2 linked regions of the Arabidopsis thaliana genome follow. The protein of the gene in region 2 interacts with the protein of the main gene of each other region in a biochemical or structural test. Each region holds a gene or a part of one and is shown on either strand. Other genes may lie near its edges.

Region 1 (11,952 bases), on a different chromosome or scaffold from region 2:
ACCGTCTATGACTATATATGAGAGTATTAATCATAGAAACACAAAACCGTATTTCTTGAAAATATATCTCATTAGGCCCCATTTCATGATTTTGTCTCCAACTCACGTGACTACCATCCATATTCTGTATTTTCTCTGTACATTTATCTAAATATACAGTTATAGTCACTCTTATGATTATGAGTAACATGTTATTTAGGAGTAAGTTTTTGTAACTTGATAAGGCACTGATAGCAATCTCATTCTATTCAAACTCGATTAGAGACCTTAGAAGTTTGTTTCATCAAGTCTCACCAGTCCCCAACTTTACATGTGGTTTTACCTTTGAGAAAGAAAAGAGATGATTTACGTTTGTATAACTATTATCAATTGCTGTTTTTGGACATGAAACTGTAGATAATTTGCCAAAAGGCCAAAAACACTTGTAAGGAAAATAAGTCTTATCTATATTATATATCTAAGCCTTGTTCTTCTCAAGATATTACATGTTAATGAAGATTTATTTGAGCTTTGAAGGATGTGAAGTTGGAAGAGAAAGAAAAAGAAGAAGAGAAGCAAGATATGAGCAACGAAGAAGATGAAGAAGAAGAAGAAGAAGAGAAGCAAGATATGAGTGAAGAAGATGATAAAGAAGAAGAAGACGAACAAGAAGAAGAAGAGAAGACCAAGAAGAAGAAGAGAGGACCTGGATGTTTCTCATGGGTGAGATCAAGACAAAGACAAGCAAGAAAATCAAAGTATATCTTCCCTATTTGTGTTCCTCATCTTGTCAAAGGTTGTTGAAAAACCTTTAAACCGAGAGAATCAATAAAGGTTTAAAGGTTTAAACCATCCTTTCAAAGGTTCCTCTTATTTGTTTCTCTTTTTCAATCTATTTTATATTATCAAAAACAAAATCATGATGATATTATATTTAGTTCTTCCTCTTTCATATAGATTCATCATTCATGGGAGTGTCAAAAGCTTAACCATATGCTTTTGCTCCCCTTTTCTCTATAACAAATGCTTATCTCTAGAGTCCCTCTTGTGTTTTTGTTTTTTTGCTCGCTCTATCTTCTTCATGGTTATTCTGTTTCCTCCTGATCATACTTCCATTCCACAATTGCTAGAGTGTGTCGGCCACCACAAGCTACATGTTTAGCTATCCATTTTCCATCGTCTTCTTCATCGGTGTGGTTGAACCGTCCTTCTGGTGGTGGAATGTGTATAGGAAGCTCCAATGGTTGTCCCGTAGTTACTTTTCTTCCATACCCGAGTCTACCGTGGTCTCCCCGACCAAACTGATCACAGGAATCAATATAAAGGAGAGGTTTATAGATTGACTTTGGGTTTCTAACCAACAATGTTTTATACTCTCTAAGAGGACTTACCGAGAAGATCCTACCGTCTCTTGTCAAAGCGACTGAATGAGTTCCGCCACAAGAGACCTGAGAGGAAAAAAAACAATAAGAGCTTTCAAAGCTATGAGAAGAGTCAAGAACTGGTGGTTTGTACTTTTTACCTGAATGATGTCTTCTCCAGCTAAGAGATTAACTTTCTGCGGAAGCATTTTACTGCTCTTATCATTGTCACCAAACCCGAGCCTTCCATGCTCTCCTCTTCCCCAACCATAAACCTAATATTGGACATAGCCAAGTTACAACATTTTTAGAGTAAAGATCTACATCAAGCTCAGAAACAACCCAGTAATGACTCGATCAAGAGCCAGATGGAATAAAAAGTGAGACCCTAGATTAGTAAGAGAATGTATGACTTCTAATACCTCTCCTTCATTGGTTAAAGCTGTTGAATGCCATCCACCCGCAGCGATATCAACCTAACATGAATTCAGAGGAGGAATTAAACTTTAACATAGGCCTTTATAGTTCACATATCTGAAGGCATCAGTTATAATAATGAGTGCTTAAACCAGAAGTCTTAGACTACATACCAAAGTGAGATCGTCAAGGCCTTGGACAGGAATAGGATACGATCTCGGTTGTGTGTCTCCAGTTCCAAGTTGTCCATATTCATTATTACCCCAAGCCCACAAAGTCCCATCTTCTTTCAGAGCCAAGTTATGAAATGCTCCCACAGCAATCAGACGAACGTTTTCAAGACCCTGAACTCTTACAGGAACAGAAATTTGTTTTCTGCGATACACAGGAAACACCATATAAACCAACAGAAGACAAGAAAATGCAAATGTCGTATCCATAAACGAAAGGAAATTTGGATAATACATGTCACCGGGAGGCCACGGTTGACCCCAAGTCCATACATAACCTTCACGGGTTAGAACCACAGAGTGAGTACCCCCTGCAGCTACCTGTTATTTTAATCATACAAACCCGAGAACAGATGGTTTAGACAGGAAAAAAAGAGAACTAAAAATTGAGGTAAATGAAGAGAGGTTAGCAGCATAAGTAACCTGTCGGACTGTAAGTTGCTGGGCACAACGCTTAGGTATTACAATATCCCTCCGCACAGGCCTACCTGTCTCATCCTTGGAAGGCTCTTCACCACACTGTCCATATTCATTTCCACCTAAGTAGATTATATAACAAAAAGGTGAACAACTTAAGATCATTAAGATCATTGAGGTCACAATCATTAGAAAGAAGCTGAGAGAGAAAATGCATACCCCAAGCATATGCTCGGCCTTGATCATCGACAGCTAAACAATGCCAGCCACCAATAGCTGCCTATGATCAATTACAGAAACGGCAATTCAGAGTAAATCACAACGAGGAAACAGCATTAGAGCCAAAAATACTTAAATAATTGTAAGAAGTTTTACCTGAACAATCTTGACGTTGGCAAGAGACTTAACTAGACTTGGGGTGCTTTCTGTTTTTGTCTCAGGTGGGTGTCCTAATGTACCCCTTTGATTCCAACCCCATGTAAACAGCTGAGAAACCATTTAAGAGACCATATTATTTCTATATGTTGGTGACACATCAATCATAAACTACACCATGGAGACAAGAACCAGAGTCTGATGATCTATTCGAGAGTAACCTCAGACAAACATATTGGTTGCATTTTAGTTGGACTTCAGGACAAGAAAAAAAATACGAGCTTTAAACCCTTTTTAATTGGTCCTACAGATCTCAAAAACCCTATGTAAAGCGAACTAAGAAAATCTTAAAGACATGGCTTAGAATCAAATCGCAAAATCAAAGCAAAGCATTGTACTTTAGTTAGTTCTAAGCGAAACCAACCAAAGAAGACACAACAAGGACACATAAAGGAAATTGGATAAGTAACCTTGCCATCATCGCAAATGGCGAGGGAATTGCGGCTACCACCGACGACGGAGCGAACGTTGAAAGGCTCAAGAGCGTCGACGACGGAAGCCAATTCCTTTTCTTCATCGGTTCCAAGTCCTAGTTGCCCATCTTCTCCAGAACCCCTGTGCCAAAAAATCAAACGAAGGAGCAATAGCACAAGTCAGAAACAGTAATGGAGAAAAACAAAGAGGTAGAATAGAAAGAGAAATGACCAGGCTATGACGGAAGTAGCTGAAGCCATTGAAACAAAAGTGAGAGATACAATTACAAATGAGAGAGAAAGAGATATATATGAAGAAACTCAGTGGAAAAGCAGGGCACTCTCGGTGGGATTTCAATTCGAGATATTATTATGTGAATGTGTCATTACATTAATTATTTATTTTGGACCAGTTAATGTTACCTCCCATTCCCATGTCATTTATTAATTAATCCAACTTTTTAGCTTATGGTCATGGAGGATTTATGATTTGTAATTCCATTATATGTGTTACCTAACAGTTGTTCCAAACCGAAAGAGGCTTTATCTTTCGTTTAAAGTTGTGAAATTCCATTTCTATTTCGTTTCATTGAACAACTCTCTTGAGTCTTAACCAATTCCATTTGGGGAACATTCCACCTAGAGAAGCATAATCTAAAAGACAACTAAACCCCAATCAGAGAAGGAAGCAAGTTTTCAACTTTTAGACCGGACCATGTAATGCAATGCAGTCTAATAGTGAAACCGGCAACAACGACAACAACCAAAACATGTGAGAAGCACACAAAGAGTTTTAACCATCGATAACCAAATCATGCAGCTACAATTACTACTACAAATCCATGTTTAAGGAAACTACAGCCCATGTTTAAGGAAACTACAAGGTTTTTTTCTGTTTAAAAACACAGAACCAAGCCATATATTTTTTTGTCTGCAAATCATTCCATGGATCTGATTTTATCACTGCGAAGGTGGTGGTTGGGCTTGTTCATCAACTTTCTGCACCTCTTTCGGGGCTTCCTTGATATCATCACCAGCTTCGTCCTGGAGATTAGATATTAGACACAAATGTTATGCGAAAACCAACAAGAATCTTAACTGCATGATGCAATCACTAAGATATTGCTAACAATGATGAGTGTAAAGAGAGACAAGTACATTGAGGTCAGAAGTCCAGAGGGTGAGATTGTCACGGAGAAGCTGCATGATCAATGTACTGTCCTTGTATGATTCCTCTCCCAATGTGTCTAGCTCCGAGATTGCCTCATCAAAAGCCTACCACCATGAAAAATCATATTAGTAACTAAACAAAAGGTACTTGAATCAAACTAGAATCCGAATGTGAAGGTTGTCCAAATTTCACTAGTGTATGGAACCATTCACAGGATCTAGTTTCCCAATTCTGCCCATCATCAAAATTAACTACAACCCTATCGGTCAGGCTATGGTAAGCAATCTACAAACCATTACTAGAACATATGGAAAGTCTACCCACATGGAAGTGTAACAAGTTAACTACGTAACACGTTTTTGCCACATTATGAACGATAGATAGAAAAAAAGAACCTCTTATGTGCTAAGTTTAATCAAGCAAAACAGTTGGAATATAGGTTTGTTAGTTAATGACAGAAAGCATAGCATAAATGAAAAAGTAACACAGACCTGCTTTGCGAGACTACACGCACGATCAGATGAGTTGAGAATCTCATAGTAGAAAACAGAGAAGTTAAGAGCAAGCCCCAGTCTGATTGGGTGAGTGGGAGCCAGATCAGCAAGAGCAATATCCTACATAAAAACACAAACACCAATAGCATGAGACAACATGTTATCTTAGCACTCTATATGGTTAAGAAGAAGAAACAAGATGATAACCTGAGCAGACTTGTAGGCAACAAGAGTGCTCTCAGCAGCTTCTTTCCTCTCAGCACCAGTCTTGAATTCAGCAAGGTACCGATGATAATCTCCCTTCATCTTCAGGTAAAAAACTTTGGACTCAGCCAAAGAAGCAGCAGGAATGAGATGAGCCTCAAGAAGGTTCAAAATGCCATCACAAATCTTGCTGAGCTCAGTTTCAATCTTGCCTCTGTAATCCTTGATAATCGAAACATGATCACTGTTGCCCCTGCTATCTTCCTTCTGCTCAATGGAAGAGATAATCCTCCAAGAAGCTCTCCTAGCACCAATCACGTTCTTGTAAGCAACAGACAAGAGATTCCTCTCTTCAACAGTAAGTTCCTCGGTCTCCACGGTCTTTGCAACTTTCTCCATGAACTCAACCATTTCCTCGTAACGCTCAGCTTGCTCGGCTAACTTGGCCAAGTACACATTCTCTTCCCGGGACGAATCAGAAGACATCTTTGCAATACTCTTTTAAAAACCTGTTTTCAACAAGAAAATATCAAGCAGCAGCAATAAACAAAGAGCACGAAATAGAACTCAGTAATGCTGCAACAATCTTGCATTCAAGAGCAACGATAACAATCATCTCTAACAAAATTAATCCACGCACCCAAAGAATAAAAAACTTTGACAAACGATTTACACTGCTAGATCTATCCAAAATCGATAGAACGAACTTTGAATCCTACAGATCTTGAAGTGATGACCAAAACGCGAAGATCAACAACATATCAACAATAAACGCAGAAAACGAGAAGCAGAAAAAACATTGTCGAAGTATGAGCAAGGAAGATCGGAACCGTACCTTGAGAAATGGGAATTTTCGAATTAGGGCTTTTGAATTCGAAGCGAAATTAGGGGAAGTGAGAAATTTGGGGGAGACGGTCTCGTGACCATTAAATGGGAAAAGAGTAAAGAGAGAGAGAGGGGCAACGACCCAATTAAAATACGACACGTGCTAATCTGTTGACCGTCAAAGGACTTAATTCTCGTCCATAATTTTAAATTGAAGTGGGTGAAATGTGACGAATCATAAGTTAATAAGGTCATTCATATAATACAAAAATATTAAGGGGGCAAAATGGCAATATAAGTTAAGTTTCCTTGGGGTAAATGACGGATTTACCCTTTGCCCTGAACCCATTTCTAGTCCCCTTTGCCCTTTTGATCGAATTGATCGGAGAAGGCCGGAAAAGCTCGAAGGTCCGTCGTCAATGGGTAGCTATGTGGAGCAAGCTCGTGAAAATCACGTGAAGAAGAAGGTCGAAGAAGGTAATTTGACAATGTCGTGACTTCTTCATCTCGCTATGTTTTAAAACCCTAAACCCCCAAATGGTTTTTTTATTGCCTCGAAAATGAGATCAACCATATCGATACTATTTAAGCCTGGTTTCTTATCATAGACGCAGATTCTTTTGCTAGATTGAGGATTAGGGTTCTCATAAACCCTTGGTAGTAACTCCATATTTTGCATCTGATCTAGCAAGCTCTCATTGAGTGTGTCAAATTGCTTCTATGAATTGAGCTTATAGATTGTGTTGAAGTTGAAATGGTGATGGTTTTTTTTTGTTAAATGGTTGTTTGATTGATTATGTATATACTTTGTTATTAGCGCTGCGTAGCAAGATGAAGGCAAAGGCATTAATGGAATGTGATCAGTACGTCTCCAAGTATGCTCAATGCGCAACAGGAAGAACTTTTTCTGTGGTATGGACATGTCGTAAGCAAGCTAGGGAGCTCAACACTTGCCTCCATCAATTGTAAGTTTTTCGAGTTTTTAGTGCTCCTTCCATTAGAGGTGTCATCTTTTTTTCACTGTTACGTATAAAGATTTGTTGTGTATGGGGGCATCTGATTTTGATTATTCTTTCTTAATACCCTTCACTGGTAAGTCTGATATGATGAAATGAGACAACTTGTGGTTAGGAGATGCATAACGTTATCATGACGTACCAGTGCTAGTATATATATGTAACCAAATATAAGCTTATAGAAGGGGATGATTGATGATTCTTTGATACTGCGATAAAAGAGAAGTAATAACTATCTTCTATATCGGTGTAGCACAGTCTTGTTCTTGGTGCACAAGTTCTTTTTATGTGACTCCCTAATGAACGTCTCCCTTGTTGGGCCGATGCTTAAATGTTGTCTAACCATGAAACTATTTTGTTGATTCTGCAGCACCAATGACAATGTCTTGGAGGAAATGAAGAGAGCGTATATGGTTCAAGAAGAGGGTAAAGTCTCAGCCTCGGCCATATAGATGTTTGTTGAACAAAAGATTTGAGTACGACCAATATAATGTCCTCGCTTTGTTTCTTGTTCATTGCGAACCAAAATATATCCTTTTTTATAAATAAACTGTGGCCTTTCTTAAATATGGGTGTATTCACTAAATCTAGAGATCAGATTCAAATAGATTTTGTATTACTATTTTTTATCATTTTGCAAAAGATCCACTACATCTAAAGATCAGATTCAAATATGTTTTTCATTGCCAAAAAGAAAAAAAAAACATATGTTTCACAATATTCAGGATTTACACCAAGAAACAAAATTTGAGGTGCTTACAAATTAGAAACCAAGTTAAAAGCAAAGGACTTCAAGCAGTAGGCTTCCTCATATTTCTGCCTGCACGAATCACTTCGTCCACCAAAAGTAATTGCGACGCAATCACTGGCCTGCAACACAAACAAATAGCCGGTTATTGAAATGGTTTCAACCGAAACCCAAAGCTTTTATTAGAATTGACTAGTTGGGTCGAACATTACCCTGAATTGATAAGTTGGCGTTTCACTGAGTAATTATCAAAAATACCAGCAAGCTGCGGGTCAATAGGTTCACCGTCCTGAAGGTTCAGTCCCACAACGTTCCCTTTGTCATGCTCGCTCTGCATAAGCGCATCACAATGAGCAATTCTAATTCTTTGTTCCTTCAACAATTGATTTCAGTTTGCAGAAGATGATAAGAGAGATGAATGCATACCGTAAGAGAAATGATCACATCTTGGGTATCAAGACCTGCATTTTCTGCAAGTGTCTTAGGCACCACGAGAAGGGCATTAGCAAAAGCTTCAACGCCAAGTTGGGCACGCTGCAATGTTCATGATAGTATTAGCAATTTAGAATATTGGGATGCATTAAGTAATGTTGCGAGAATTAGAGTACGAGTGAAGAAATCAACTTACCCCTTGAACGGTTTTCTTGACTTCATTGAGTAAGTGTTGCCTTGCTGCAACTTCAAAAGCTCCTGCTCCCTACAGAAACATGCAACCACACATTAACATAACGCAAAACATATACAATAGGTCTATATGCTAACCTTACCCAGGGTTTTGATCACGAATTAACAATTTCTTTGATATTGCGGAGAAACATAAAGCAATGTTAACAAAAAAACTTCAAGATATATAAGGTACTTACTAACACAACACACTCGTCTTCTATGGTGTTCTTGACCGATCTCAGACCATCACGAACAGCGTCCTTAATTTGGGCAATAGTGTGATCATTAGGCCCTACAAAACCCAAGAAATTCATGAATGAACACTAAAACTACTAAAAGAACAAATGAACCATCAAAACTTAATGAAGACATAAAAGTCGTCCTAATACCTTTTATGAGGATGGTACATGAATTAGGATTCTTCACTTGCTCCACAAAGGTGTACTTTTCCTCCCCAAGAACGTGCTCATAGACAAGTCCAGCCCATCCAAGAGACTCAGGGGTCAAGTCGTCAACAGAATTCACAGCTTCTCCACCACAGGCCAAAACTAAACGTTCCATGTTCCTCCTCTTTGCTCTTCTAAGACCAATAATCTGGACACATGAGGAAAGGTAATTAGATTCAACAGCTTCTAAACAAGAGAAATTAGGTACAAAAGAATAGACAAGCTCAGTCAGTGTCCCAGAACTAAAAACTAATGCTGCCAATCGTCTCCATGGATTATTGTATATCGAAGGAACTACTCTTTTAATATTACTGGCAATTTCAATTCACTTAATAACACATTCTTCCCTAGTATCTTTCTTCTTGTTCCTAAATATCACAATTTCAGCGATTTGTAACATAAGTTTAAATGCAAGAAAACACAGAAGTAGCTTACCCCTTCTCTAGCAAGAAGATCCAATGATGGTGGGTCAATACCCTTCTGATTTATGACAACAAAGTTGTCATTATCACCACACACCTGCACAAGAAATAAAACATGTATTAGTATTTTTTACAGGGTTTTAAAATAAAACTTGGAGAAATGGTCGCAGTCCCACCTTCTTCTTCAGCTCAATTATTTTCTTAACTCTTTCATCAACAGATCGCCTCTCTGCGGTAACCATGGCTTCCCTCTGCTCCGCATTAGAGTAGAAAAATCCTGCATTGATTTCACTGATAGATAAATAGAAATATTAGTCCACATCACCAGAAACATCCAGGCCTTTACTTTCTCTTCGCCAAATTGACCAAAGAATTATATTACACACCTCTTCTCATACTCTAGTGACACATTGCAAGTTAAGATGTGGCAATTTTCTGCGCGTCGTTTCATGTCAGGGTGTCTCGAACCATGATCCAGAACAAGCCCCTCAACCTAATTCAGAATTAAGTCAGTGTTTCCAACAGGTCCATACTATAAACCGGCAAGTATTTCATATATAAACCTATAATGAGGGAACTATTTTACAATAAATTAAGTCAAGACATACCAATCGTGTGTCAACATCGAATTTGTGACGCATGTGCATTATTTCCACCATAAACAGATCAATAGCTTCCTCAGGCTTTCGGATGCAAAGAACCTGTAATGTGAGGAAAGTAGATAATTAGAAGACAAACAAGCTCGAAAACCAATATTGGTGCATAGATGAGTCCTCATCTGTGTGAACAAAAAAAATGAAAAGAATAAGTGAGATTCCATTAGAGAACAGTTAACTCACCGAATTGACGACAATGTCAGTCAGTTGATCAGCTAAGCCTTCGTACAACTACACAATCCACAAGAGTAAATCGAAATTAGAAAACGAAAAGAAAAATCAAATGAAAAGAAAGATAATCATAAAATGAAGAATACTTTTGTTCTTAGTGTCGTTCTTGCAACCATTTTTAGGATCTCTTTATCAACTTCATCACCCATAACAACAGGGGTCTTGAAGTTGTCAAGAAATTGAAGAGTAGCTCTCTTAGCAATCTCGAAACCATCAACTAGGACTCGTGGATGCATACCTGATACAGTATAAACCTTCATTAGGATTCTGGCTACAAAACTAGATACCAGTTGTGCATTTTCTATACCCAATATAAACAAAACTTGGCAAATCAATGTCGCTGAATACAAATAGTTGGTCCCCACTAATAACACATAGATTGAGAAATAAAATAAAAACAAGCATATAGGAGTATAAAACTAACGAACTCTCAGCAAACAATTAGCGACTTACCTTCATCGATGCAGCGTTCAGACTGTTTCATAAGCTCACCAATGAAGATAACAGTGGAAGTAGTACCATCACCACTTATATCATCCTGTGCAACAGCTGTCCTCGCAATCATAATGGCTGTTGGATTCTGAATTTGCTGCAACAGTTAAGAAATCAGAGTGTAAGCATCATCGAACCAAGATAACTTGTAAAGGAGCATACCAGTAGCCCATATCAACACCAAAGATTATCCGGCAGTATCTTAATCCTTTCGTCTATCTTATCTAGCGTAGTACTAAATGACACAATTCACGGGCTTCTGAGCACCCTTCAACACTAAAAAGCCAAAACAGAGCTCGATTCTAACAGATCAATACGATCTAGATTGATTTTAAAAGATCAAACTCACCATTTCCTTCAATAGCGTGTTCCCATCTTTGGTAAGCTTAATATCCCCAGAACCACCAACAAGCCTGCATCGAGTGAGAAGCACATGAGGAATTTGAAGATAATGAACAGTATATACATAGATCAGATTAAATCAAGAGGATAAAATACATTTTGATTGTTCCTTTAGGACCGAGATTCGACTTGAGTACATCTTGCAAACCCTTGGCGGCGTTGATGGTCATATGAAGCGCCGCAGATTTGTTGAGAACCTCGGCATTAGGATTCAGAACTCGCACTGACATTTTCGATAACCTTTGGTGCACAGATTCAGGACACGAAGAGAATAACTTGAGACTGAACTAGAGAGCGAGCGAGAGAGAGGGAGAGAGCTTTAGGGCTTTCTTCTGGGTTTTAAAAGTGAAGCCGATGTTGAGAGACTCTAGTCGCTCTAGAGACTTTAATATTAACCTGAAATTACAAAATTTACCCAGATTATAATATGTTTTACATTTTTAGCCATATATTAATTGATTCTCTAAAAATCATATATTCTCCAACATTCTGCAATATTATTCCGATCATCATTTGAAGAAAGAAATTTAATTATAAACGTAATATAAATTTAGACCTAAAATTAGTTTTTTTAATTAATACTTAGTAAGAGTAATGGTATTTCAAAATTTGATTGATTTGATCATTTAGTTTTGTAGTCTATTTAGGATTAAAAACAAATTCGTTCGTTAGCAACTGGCTGATTTGACTATGCTTAAAACAATTTTCAGATGAACCATTGCGTTAGCTGAATAATCTATTATTGGAATCAAAATTCTAGTCAATGTGTAATATATGGCCCAACAGAACTAAAATAAAAACGGGTTGGGGATAGTGATGGTAAAATGGTTTGTGTTTTGGACCATTAACAACTTGGTATACACACACACACGTATCGAATTTAAGTTACAGATCTTGATACCAACTTTTTTATTTCCTTGTTATCAA
Region 2 (12,324 bases):
TCACGGGTATTCATTGACTGACTCATACACCTCATTTCAACGTCCCACTCACTGAATAAGATTACACACTAACTATTCAAATCCCACGCTCGATCCGGGATAAAACACTGGACCACCCCATAATGGGCTTATGACAATGGGCCTCAGCCTCGTTGTCTTCATATATCAAAAGACCTAAAGAGCTTGATGCTCAACAATATTCTGGAATCAGAAATACAATGTCAAAAACTGAAAAAAAATATCAAAAAAGACACAAACCTTAGTATACATTGTGTTTTGTTGTAACAATATTTTTACATCATCAGCGTCGAAACGCATTGCCTTCAGCTGCAGTTCCACGTTGTGAATAATAGCTTCTGCGACGCACGCTTTCTTCAATTGTTGAGCTTCCGCCTTTCTCAACTCCATACACACTCTTATTAGCATCGTCCAAAAAGCTCTTGCCCGTGGATACTTTGTTCTTATCAGCTTCCACTGCATCGGTCTCATCGGCTTTCTTCAATCTTGTCCATCTTTGCTCCTCGTGCACCTCTGCATCCATTTGCATTTGCTTCAATCTAGCAGCTCTTTCTTCTTCTGATAGCTTAGAGCCACCTTTCCGGCGTCTATTCTGGTATTCATTCGGTTTTCCACTGTCTAAATCCTCTGCTTTCCTCTTTTTATCCTCTTGACCATAACTCTTAAGATTTTCCCTTTCCACACCGCCTTTAGGGGAGCGATTTCGATATTTCTCATTCGGTCGAGCATCTCTTCTTTTTGGTTCATCATCAATATCTGACCTTCGTCTCTTATCTTGACTTTCTCTTCTTTTGTACTCATCATCCAAATCTGACCTTTGTCTCTCAAAGTGCTTATCATGACTTTCTCTTCTTTTGGACTCATCATCCAAATCTGACCTTCGTCTCTCATAGTGATTATCCCTACTTTCTCTTCTTTTTGACTCATCATCCATTTCTGACCTTCGTCTCTCATAGTGCGTATCATGTCTCTCTCTTCTTTTGTGCCCATCATCTAGTTCTGACCTTCGTTTCTCATAGTGCCTATCACGACTCTCTCTTCCTTTTGACTCATCTTCTAAATCTGACCTTGGTCTTTCATAGTGTCTGTCATGAGTCCCTGACGTTTTCTGATGGTGAGATTTTCTTCCGTTATTCTCTTCACCAGAATCTTCTTCCGAATCAGACCGCTGTCTGGATGAAGATTGCTTCTGATGCTTTCCACTTTTACGCTTATGCTTCTTCTTGTGCTCCTTTGTGTCTCCATCTTTACCCTTTCCTTTTTCTTCTACCTGTAAAAGAAACTCTCCAACAGGGTCAGTAAATGTATAAGGAAAAGAAAGCCAATAACATATATCCAATGTAATCCCAATTCCCAAACCCTCCATGTAGAAGAACAAAAGAACTTACCGATTTACGAATAAGAGCCATTTTGACAGGATTATTCTTGATTTTGGCAAGAGCTTCCTGTTCACGCTGCCTGATGAGAAGCAAAGGATCAGAGTGAAGTTTCCTCCACGAATCATTAGCAGATTGTGCCTTCTCCTCAAACAGCGCACCAGGAGCTGACTGATCTGGCTTCTCACTGGCACTACTACCAGCTTCAGATTTGGCTAAAGGCTGCTCTTCTTTCTGAAACGAAACACCTGAACCACTCGCACTTCCCTTCCCTACAGCTAATCCAGAATCATACAGAAACTCTAATCTCTCTTGTCTCCTACAATAAGATAACAAAAAGTATAAGACTTTAGAACGACCCACAACTTCCAATCACCGAATCCATCATCAATCATTAAAAACTAATCAAACTACCAGCAGATGCATCTTATAGATTCTAATGACTCCAAATCATAAAAGTATACAACTTTACTACTTTAGAACGACCCACAACTTCAAATCACCGATTCCATCGCCAATCATTAATAAAACCAACTAACTACCAGCAGATGCATGTTATATATTCTACGCTAAAAACTCAAACCGCTAACCCTAATTCCCAAATTCGTTATCACCCAAATCAATTGGGATCGTGGGTAAGGAAAACAGAGGAACTTACGGGATGAGACCGGCTTGTTCCTGGAGAGCACGAAACTCAGAACGCTCCCTCTCCTGCAAGATCTGGAGACGAAGCTCTTCAAGCTTTTTCTGCTCAGCCTCTTGTTTCTGCTCAGCCTTCCATACAGTCTCGATGTTACGGAGACTCCCCGTATGCCAACCCTTCTTGTTCAGAAATTTCATCCCCATGATTGCTCTTCTTTTTGTTTCTCCTCCTCTCGCTTCAAAATCTGGTTACCTTCTTTTTTGTTTCGTTCAATCGAAAACTCGTCGAGGGTTCTAAATTATTTTGCTCCGTCGCCGTCGTATAAGCGAAATAATGTGAGATGGAATCAGAGCCGTCCGTGTTTAAAACGTGTGATTTAGATGTTATATTTGGGCCTCATGGGCTTGTTGTCAATGGTTGTGCTAAACCGCAAATCTAAGCTAATTGGATCCGGTTTAGATTGGCTTTAAGTCCAATGAAATTCTGACTGCTTGTTGAAATTTGTCTGTGAAACTCCCAAATACTCAGAAGTCAAAGACATTCGTTTCTTCCGGATCAAACAATGGCAAAGATTTATTGATTTTCGAGACGTTGTAGACAATTGACAAATTCAATTATTATTTTAAACCAAAAAGCTTGTGTGTTTCACCAGAGAGTAATGCTTGTATACCACCTAAAAATCATCACAACTTTATGAAGTAGAGAGCAATTAAAGATTGTCTTTGTATTAAAAAGAAAAAAAACTGTGTTTTCTATACATTCAACTCCTGAAGAAGATTCCTAATCCTACTCAAAAAAAAAACACCTGAAGAAGATAACTTGCGATGTATTTAAACAATCTACGCCGATGTTGTATCTTGTCCTCGTTCAACACTCCATCTCTATCCTCTCGCTTTTCTTTTCAACTGTTAAAGAAGAAACACAATCCACAACAGGTTAGCAGCAGAAACGAAATCCAATACAATCTAAAACCGTAACCGTTTACAGAAGAAACACAAGCAGGACACATGAATGGAGTAAAGAAATAAAGAAAGGAACTTCCAGATTTCCTGCTCTTTCTGCCTGATGAGAAGCAAAGGGTCGGAGTGGAATTTGCGCCAAGAATCATTGGCAGAGTGTCTCTTATCATCATCATCAAACAACGCACCAGGAATCGTAGCTCTCGCTCGCTGATCTTGATTCTGAAACAAAACACCATGTCTTGAACTACTAACATTCTGTTTCGCTACTGCTAGTTCTGGATCATACAAGAACTCCAATCTCTCTGGCCTCCTCCTACAAGAAGAAACAACAAAACTAAGGTTAAAACCACTCATCTTACCACAGACGCTATTTCGATAAAATATTCGAGTTTTGATCATTAGCTCAATTGCAATCATCATTCATGATTCACTTCAAAGGTTTTAAAACTAATTAACTAACGCCGCCATTAGAATATACTTCCAATCATCAAACTCTGTTGCTAACCCTAATTTCAAATATATGTACCAATCAAAATCTAATTTAGGAGAGGGCTATAGGTATAGAATTAGAAAACTTACGGAACAAGACCGGCCTGTTCTTGGATAGCGCGAAATTCAGAACGCTCCTCAATCTTTTCCTGCTCGGCTTCGTGCTTCTGTTCAGCTTTCCATACTTTCTCAACGTTGCGGATACTTCCCGTATGCCACCCCTTCTTGTTCAGAAACTTCAACGCCATTCTTTCTTCTTAGAGTTTCTGCTTTCCTCCTCTTCGTTCAAAAACTCGTCAAGGGTTTTTATAATAAGAAAGTTTCACCTTCTTATAATCTCAGCGCCGCCTTAATGGACATCTGGGCTTAATAATGGCCATTAACGGGCCTGTTTTGGATATCTCGCGGTAGAGTCCCGGTTTACTTTGGTTTAACCCAGTGAAGTGGTCGATGAATTCAACATCCAACACTTGAAAAGGAGTCTTCTTTGTTCTCTTACTAAAAGATACGGTAATACAATGCTCAGACAAAAGCTAATGGATCATTGAATAGACTCAGATATTACAAGACAACTGATAGTATTTACAAATTCTTTTGTTATTTGAGGTATGTAAGAAGATAGATTATGCCAAACCGAAGAGCTTCAGTGTTGCTGCACTAGCGAGTATGCCATGTATGGCTGGCTGTTTTTACTGTGTGGTAAAGTAACCTTAAAAAATCATCAAACAGAAGTTGTGCACTCTTGCTGATGGCACTTCTTCTGGTGTTGAATAAGCTGACTTCTAAGATAGCATTCTTCCATCTGCAGAATAGAAGAAAAAACACTTTAGGATTTCAGAAACTGAAAAGAAACAAATGGTTATGTCCCCCAAACAGTACAAGTTTTAATACCTGTGATGAATGTGTCTTAAGCAGTGCAACTCTGCAATCTTCTACTGATGCTTTCTCTATGCCGCTTACTCTAGCTAATTCCGACATCAAAGTCTCCATCTCTTGTGTCTGCAAAAGGAACCAAGGAAGATGTTTCAGTTTCAACATAGGCGTGTGTAGGAACTTTGTTTTTGTTCATGTTTAATGTGAAGCACATTGACTGTATTTTGCTAACCTTAGGCACAAGATTTCCAATGTTTTGCACAATGCCTTCCATAGATTTTGAAGCGACAACAAGTGCTTCTGCTAACTCTTTAGTCTCAACCTGGTTTTGAGAAGCAAAATCTAAATGTTTTAGTACAAAAGGTATAAAGGAGCAGAATTTTTCCTAGTTGATTCGACCAACACAACATATACCTTGATTTTTGAATCGAGAGGCAACCGCAATGAAGCATTCAACAAAGCTTCAGTTGTTTCCAATAGTGAAGTTGAGAATTCATCTTCAAGAACAGCCCATTGCTCCAAAGAAGGAGTCTGCATAGAGTTAAAAGTAGTTTAACACCAATTTTTACAAGGAAACTACACAATTGCTCTAAACGTTCATAAATGTAAAAATAGTGTGAAATCTACGATATTTAAGATCTTTACTTACTTGTGACTCTACAATCTCCGTAACAGCTTTAACTCTCTGTAAATGTTGGAGTTCTATGCGTTTCCTCTGTACAGAATCAGACAACTCCGACATTTTCAAACCAAGTGAATAAAACATTCTCTGCAAGAAAAACAATTTACAGCATCCATAAGATCACCATCATCAAACAGAATCTAACCTAAACAACATTCATCACTAATACTGAAGTTATGTGTCAAACATTGATCTATATGTAAAAGCTATCAAATTTCTGATTCTCAGAGCTATAGAAACTGACCTCAGCTTGTGCTTTCTGAGATTGTGTTTTGACCTCAGCATTTGCATTTGCAAATCGCCATTGCAAGTAACGGTTATGGAGCAGTTTCAGAGAATGCACATCCGCTTGTTGTCCTAAAGCTTTCTTCTGCTTCTTTGTATCGGCTTGAATCTTCGAATTAGGAGCCACCGGAGGCAATGACAAACCAACACCATTTTTAAGCGACAATGAAGCTCTAACATCTCGAAACATCGACGCATCATCGGAACTCAGGGATCGAGAAAGTGGTGAGGCGGTGGGAGTGTTAAAGGCCTTTGCTTGGGTTCTAATTGTTGGCAACAGATCTGGGCCGTTGGATTTGAAAATCTCTCTATTGTTGTTATCTTCTTCACCGTCTGTAGAAGATGATAACGAGATCCCGCTTGATCGGAGAAGCCTAGTCGCAGCGGAGGCAGTGAGTAAACGCTGTTGGTTCAGCCGCGATCTAGACGGTGGCGGCAACATAGCCGTCGTTGGTGTGTCGAGACGGTGACCGTTCTCTTTCAACGGCTTAGATCGAATATGCTGCTTAGGGTTTTTACCTCCGTCGACTTGTTGAAGAGGAAAAGGCGAGTCTAAGCTACGCGCCGTCTCGGAAGGACGATTCTCGTCTCCCTCTTGCATTTTCAATTGCCGTCTCATCCTCTGAGCCGAAGTCGATCTCTGATTCTGATGTTGGTGATGATGTCTAGGAGAATTTGAAGTCAATTGATGGAGATCTCCGGCGGAAGAAGAGGAAGACGACGATGACGAAGAAGAAATGGGAGACATGAATCTCGAGCTCACTTCTCTTACTCTCGGCCGCCTCGTAGAAGGAGGAGGAACCGGCGCCGGAGCATTAATCGCAGGTGTAGATGGGTGTTCCATGGATCGGCCGATTCTCGCCTCCATTTCAATCAAATTTCTTCGAAATTGACAAAATCACCGGAGATTCCAGATGCCGGAGATTTTTTTGTTCCGATAAGAAAACAGAAATTATTCAAATCGGATTGAAATTTTCGAAACCCTAGGCGAAGAGGAAGAGAAAAGGGGAAGAAGAAGGAAACTAGCCGTTGAGTAAATGCTTCACAAAGCGCAACGGTTCTCTTCTTGTCCGTGAAACGATAGGTTTTTTTTTTGTCTTGCTTTCTCGATTAAATTAAATTAATCAGATAAGATAAGCAAGATTAATGTTTTGAAAAAAAAGATAAGCAGGATTAATGTTGGTGGGCCTATTAATATTGGGCCCAATAAGGAGCGTTTGTGTTCTTTAAAGTAATGGGTTATAAATGTATAAATGAAAGTTTTGTTGGATCATTTTGCAATTGTTTTAACCTTCCGACATTTTCCTGGATAGACTGAAGAAAAAAGTTGGGAGTGAAAAAGAGGTGAAAAGAGGAGACTTTGACTTCTTCTGATGAACTTTCTTCTGCACTTCTTCTCATTAAGCCTCCTTGTTAAAATAATTTGAGATGGCGATAGGAAACCCAGAAGTAGCAACTATGGGGAAGGAGAACACTGAAGCCGAGTCCTCTAATGGAAACGAGTCTCAGTTAAGTTCTGACTTAACGAAGAGTCTTGATCTGGCTGAAGTGAAGGAAGACGAAAAGGATAATAACCAAGAAGAAGAAGATGGACTGAAAGGTAAATCATTTCGTGTTTTTGATAGATCTTGTAGTTGAAGTATGTAATTATGACGGGAAAAAGATGGAACTTTGGTCTCTTTCGTGTGTTCTTGTTTATTACTAGTTTAGATTAATCAATCTGGTTATGTCATCAGAGATTGTAACTTTCTAGGAACTAGTGTATGTGAAGTTGGTTTAGAGTTTCTCTAGCTTTATTGTTGTTGAGACTTTTAGTCTTTTCATTTTAGCTGAGGCTTCAACGAAGAAGAAGAAGAAGAAAAGTAAAAGCAAGTGAGAAGTTGTTTCTTTTTTCTGTTAATCTTCAGTGTTTGCTTTGATGATCTTGCTCAAAAATCTGATGATTGTTTTTAGGAAGAAGAAGAGTTCTCTTCAACAGACTGATCCTCCTTCAATTCCTGTTCTTGAGCTCTTCCCTTCTGGAGATTTTCCTCAAGGTGAAATCCAACAGTACAATGATGAGTAAGTCTAGACTAGATTTTCTATAAGGACATTTTGTTTTGCTAGCTAAGTCTATGTTGTGATGTAGTAATTTGTGGAGAACAACATCTGAAGAGAAGAGAGAGATGGAGAGGCTGCAAAAGCCGATATATAACTCTCTTCGCCAAGCAGCGGAAGTTCATCGTCAAGTTAGGAAGTATATGAGAAGTATATTGAAGCCTGGAATGTTGATGATTGATCTCTGTGAGACTTTAGAGAACACTGTTCGTAAGTTGATATCAGAGAATGGTCTTCAAGCTGGTATCGCCTTTCCTACAGGATGTTCACTGAATAAGTTAGTTCAACCTTTTTCATTCTTTCTGCATTTCTTTGATCTTTGGCTCTATCAATGCGTCTCAAATTTACTTGAACCTTCAGTGTTGCTGCTCATTGGACACCAAACTCTGGAGATAAGACTGTCCTTCAGTATGATGATGTGATGAAGCTGGATTTTGGAACACATATTGATGGTATGGTAAAAACAAAAACTTATCATCTGTTTGTTGTATTTTCTCAACGTAGATGTCTCATAAGAACAATTATTATGTTGTTTTGGCAGGGCACATTGTTGATTCTGCTTTTACAGTTGCGTTCAATCCTATGTTTGATCCTCTTTTAGCAGCCTCGCGTGACGCAACATATACTGGTATCAAGGTGCTCATTCTGTTTCTGTTGCTACTTGTGGGATTCTTCTGTTCTTGGATATGGTGAATGCAGCCATTCATTCTGTAGTGACTTCTTCTTTGAAGTTTGCATTGTTTTCTTATAACCATATTGAGCTTCTTTTTTGGATCTTTATCGTTCAATCCAACTGAATAAGTCCATTGTGTTATTAATTTTGTTGGTTTAGGAAGCCGGGGTAGATGTCCGGCTCTGTGATGTTGGTGCTGCAGTTCAGGAGGTCATGGAGTCTTATGAGGTTGAAATCAATGGAAAAGTCTACCAAGGTAATTGATTACGTTTGTGGCAGCATTTTTTGGTGGTTTCTATTTGGATTATTAGAAAACTAAAACAATGTTGTGTCTTTTGGGGGCAGTCAAAAGTATCAGAAACCTGAATGGGCACAGCATTGGACGCTATCAGATACACGCTGAAAAATCAGTTCCTAATGTTAGAGGAGGCGAGCAGACGAAAATGGAAGAGGGTGAATTATATGCCATTGAAACTTTTGGATCAACAGGTAACAACAACATTTCTCACATGAAACTATACAAGAAATGTGGATTTTTACGAATTCAGAGTAAAATTGGTTTTTCACTTGTGTCATTTTGCAGGGAAAGGATATGTAAGAGAAGACTTAGAATGTAGCCATTACATGAAAAACTATGATGTGGGTCATGTACCTTTGAGGTTACCAAGGGCAAAACAACTCCTTGCCACTATTAACAAGAACTTCTCCACGCTAGCCTTCTGCAGACGTTATTTGGACCGCCTTGGTGAAACAAAATACTTGATGGCTTTAAAGAATCTTTGTGATTCTGGCATAATTGAGGTAAACTCCTTAAAACTATATATATACTCTGATGACTTATGTTCAAGAACATTTTGATGAAAGTAAGTTTCTTTGGGTTAACTTTTGTAGCCATGTCCTCCAGTGTGTGATGTCAAAGGAAGCTATATTTCTCAGTTTGAGCATACAATCCTGTTGCGACCAACTTGCAAAGAGATTATTTCCAAAGGAGACGATTATTGAAATAGTGATTTTCACAGAACTTGAAGCAGTTGTTCTTCTTGAGTTTGTATAATAGTTTTGGAAGGCTTTTTAAGTCTTGTGCTCAAATATTTGTATGTTCTTCGAAGATGATTCTAAGTATAAGAGCTTAGGGGATCCTTCATCAATTATAGCTACATGTTAGCTTATTTTTTATTCTGTTATAGAATTTTGATTTTTTTATATATGACACAACACAAGTAACAAAATCACACTTCCTAATAATTCAAAAGTAAAAAAATCGCATGGGAAAAGTAGTTCATATAGAGAAGAAGCAAAATAATAATAAAACCAAACGAATGTATCATCTAGCGCAAGTTGTTGAAGAGCATCCTTGAACTTTTGTCCGTCAACAAGATATTGTTCCTTGAGAAATTTGCACACCTCTGAACACATATCATCAGTGTTCAAGTCGCATGTGATCCATTCATAACCACAAGGAAGTTTTTCTGGTTCTTGCTTGATCTCAGATAACGGATTTGCCGGCTCAACTGGACTTTCAGGCAAACTAGTGTTTCCGACATCCTTATGGGCCTTTGCTTTGACGATTTGATCTGTTTTCTCTTTTTGAGACTGGATTTTTGAGCTTTCGCCGTCCTCAGCTCTATCATAGGCATTGACATCAGACGGCTTCATCCCCAAGAAACAAAGAGGCATAATGGATGACGTCCATTGTTTTTGTTTGTCTACTATCCTCTCTTTTTCGTCATCTTTAAATAACTCCAAAAACTGATGAGTGAAGCAACATATTCCTCGTTGTATCAAGGTGCTAAAACCCCCAACACAATGTCACATATGAACAATATAACTTTAGCTCCATACTGGGTCCATTATATTGTTTTTGTTGCTAATAAATCATTTGGGCTTCTTCTGCGTCGAAGAATTCATGTCGGCCACAACAAAACCTCTATAAATTAATAATATTAGGACCAAGAAATTTATTAATTTAGAGAGATATTAATTTATTGATAAACTAATAAAATTGTACAAATTTTGTATACAAAAATTCGATATAAAATTTAGTTTGTTCTTTAAAATCAATAGTATTTCTGAAACCAATTACAAGTAGAAATTAGTTATTAAGTTTAAAAAACAATATAATTTTTTTCCATGTTGTAAAATATTAGAATTGAATACTACAAAGAATTAATAAAAATTGAAGAAAAACATAACTAGAGTCATATTTTTATATAAGATATTTATAATATATATTGGTAAATATATATAATTATTAATGTATACTCCCTCTGTTCCTTTTTGTTTGATTTTTTAGAAGAAAAAAAATTGTTTCAAAAAAATTGATTTTTTAGGTTTTCAATGCAATAGTTATTAGTTATAATTGATAAATTGTAAACTTCAATACAAATTATTGAATATTATTGGTTTAAAGTTATTGAAAATTGTAAATCACAACGAACAATAAATTTAAAAGCAAAATTTAATATATTTTTCTTAATATTTGTGTTTTTCCTAAAATATCAAACAAAAAAAATAGATGAAGTACTATTGATGGAACCATATATTTATATAAAGTTTTCAAAAAAAATATTATCTTATTAATTTATCGATTTGTATCAATTTTAATAGTAGTCACAATTCGGACCGAAAAAATCTATTAATTTATTATTAATTTTTTGAGTATTAATTTATAGAGGTTTTATTGATTATGTAAATCAGATTGCATGATTAATGCTGTTGGGCCTTAAATAATAGGCCCAATAAGGTATATATTTGTGAACGTGAGGGAAGGGGCTTAGTAATGTAAATATGAAAGTTGTGTTGGGCCACTTGCAGTTTGTTTTCGTCCGTCAATTATAACGGTCCGTCAGATTTGTTTTAACAGATTGCGACGATGACGTCTCCGATTGTACGAACTGAATATTATGGCGCCAAATATCTGAAAAGCAGATGATGACACGTGGATTCGCCTCAATCTGACGGTAACTTTTGAAGAAATCTCAGGGTCTGGATTCGTCTCTGTGTCTCCAGAAATTTCGAATTTATGTTTTCTCTCACTTTTCTCCGATCGTAGCTCAGCTATTTTCCGGCGATCTTCTTCCGATTCTTCAACCCGGAGCTTTTGGTAAGTAATTCGTGATTGTTGATACTATCGCTTAGTTTTCTTGGTATTTGTTTCGATTAATGGCTTTGTATTGACTTGGCGAAACTTTGTTTGCGATTTTTGTCCCGATTCGTTTTTTCCGATCGTAGCTCAACTATTTTCCGGCGATCTTCTTCCGATTCTTGCTGTCGCACTTCAACCCGAAGCTTTTGGTTAGTACTTCGCCATTGTTGATACTATAGTGTCGCTCAGTTTTCTTGGGTTTTTGTTTCGATTCATGACCTTGTATCGGATTCTTCATAGCGATTTTGCTACAAAATCGGAAAGTATTTGTGTGTTGTTGCTAGAAATTTTGGGATCGCTATGTCTAGGGTTAAAAATCTTGATAATGCTTCATACTGTAAGCTAGCTCGGCTTTCTTATTCGTTTTCAGTTTTGTTTCATGGCTGTTGCTTGCTGTGTATTCATGATTGAGCAATCAATTTTTTTGTGCAGACGATCAACAATGTCAGATCCAAAACTGAAGCCAGTGGAGGATGCACTAGTTACTGTTGCCAAGAGCTCACAAATTCAATTAGCCAAGGATGATACTTCAGGTGGAACCATAGTTGGAAGGTTACTGCAGTGCCAGTATTCAAAGACCCATAAGTTCTGGGAGACTCAACCTGTTGAGCAGTTTAAAGATATCCAGGACACGAGTTTGCCTGAAGGCCCAATTGAGCCCGCAACTTTGGTGTCTGAGGTCAAGCAAGAGCCGTACAACCTTCTTGGTCAATTCGAATGGACCATATGCGATATGAACTCTGACGATATGTGTTTAGAGATGTACAACTTTCTCAAGGAAAACAGTCCTGATGACAACAGATCAAGTATGAGTACTCCAAAGAGTATCTAAGGTGGGCACTGTGTCCACCTGGTTATTACCAGAGCTGGCATATTGGAGTCCGCGTCAAGACCTCCAAGAAACTCATTGCTTTCATCTGTGGCAGGCCAACAAGAATCAGGGTGCGTGATGAGGTTGTTAAAATGGCGAAGGTCAATTCCTTGTGTGTTCACAAGAAGCTCAGGTCTAAGGGACTTGCTCCTCTCATGATCAAGGAGTTGACTAGAAGGGTTAAGTTGCAGAATATATGGCAAGCGGCTT

Evidence for each region.
Region 1: the proteins of EDE1 (region 2) and GRF5 form a complex in vitro, tested with the Arabidopsis thaliana proteins (one study listed by BioGRID).

The regions. Positions count from the first base shown.
Region 1 is NC_003076.8:5,239,796-5,251,747, forward strand, and holds GRF5 (general regulatory factor 5), read right to left. Parts: upstream 6,044-11,952; 5' UTR 5,957-6,043; intron 5,948-5,956; exon of another isoform or gene 5,762-5,947; intron 5,631-5,761; 5' UTR 5,608-5,630; coding exon 5,125-5,607; intron 5,038-5,124; coding exon 4,915-5,037; intron 4,528-4,914; coding exon 4,411-4,527; intron 4,297-4,410; coding exon 4,213-4,296; 3' UTR 3,760-4,212; downstream 1-3,759. Other genes in the region: AT5G16030 (mental retardation GTPase activating protein), read left to right, coding at 517-783; AT5G16040 (Regulator of chromosome condensation (RCC1) family protein), read right to left, coding at 1,065-1,280, 1,371-1,427, 1,502-1,615, 1,763-1,816, 1,931-2,132, 2,223-2,308, 2,411-2,526, 2,624-2,684 and 3 more; AT5G16060 (Cytochrome c oxidase biogenesis protein Cmc1-like protein), read left to right, coding at 6,366-6,423, 6,764-6,911, 7,333-7,414; AT5G16070 (TCP-1/cpn60 chaperonin family protein), read right to left, coding at 7,754-7,832, 7,923-8,041, 8,137-8,244, 8,339-8,407, 8,574-8,668, 8,766-8,970, 9,258-9,341, 9,421-9,535 and 7 more. UniProt on the Arabidopsis thaliana protein: Is associated with a DNA binding complex that binds to the G box, a well-characterized cis-acting DNA regulatory element found in plant genes.
Region 2 is NC_003071.7:18,266,218-18,278,541, reverse strand, and holds EDE1 (ENDOSPERM DEFECTIVE protein (DUF566)), read right to left. Parts: upstream 6,424-12,324; 5' UTR 6,197-6,423; coding exon 5,288-6,196; intron 5,131-5,287; coding exon 5,011-5,130; intron 4,893-5,010; coding exon 4,776-4,892; intron 4,684-4,775; coding exon 4,594-4,683; intron 4,488-4,593; coding exon 4,380-4,487; intron 4,291-4,379; coding exon 4,210-4,290; 3' UTR 3,863-4,209; downstream 1-3,862. Other genes in the region: AT2G44200 (pre-mRNA splicing factor domain-containing protein), read right to left, coding at 302-1,288, 1,407-1,713, 2,053-2,240; AT2G44198 (uncharacterized protein), read left to right, coding at 2,378-2,476; AT2G44195 (pre-mRNA splicing factor domain-containing protein), read right to left, coding at 3,003-3,312, 3,579-3,736; MAP2A (methionine aminopeptidase 2A), read left to right, coding at 6,757-6,928, 7,158-7,200, 7,282-7,389, 7,457-7,702, 7,786-7,877, 7,967-8,061, 8,258-8,354, 8,444-8,587 and 2 more; AT2G44175 (Acyl-CoA N-acyltransferases (NAT) superfamily protein), read right to left, coding at 9,328-9,336, 9,416-9,754.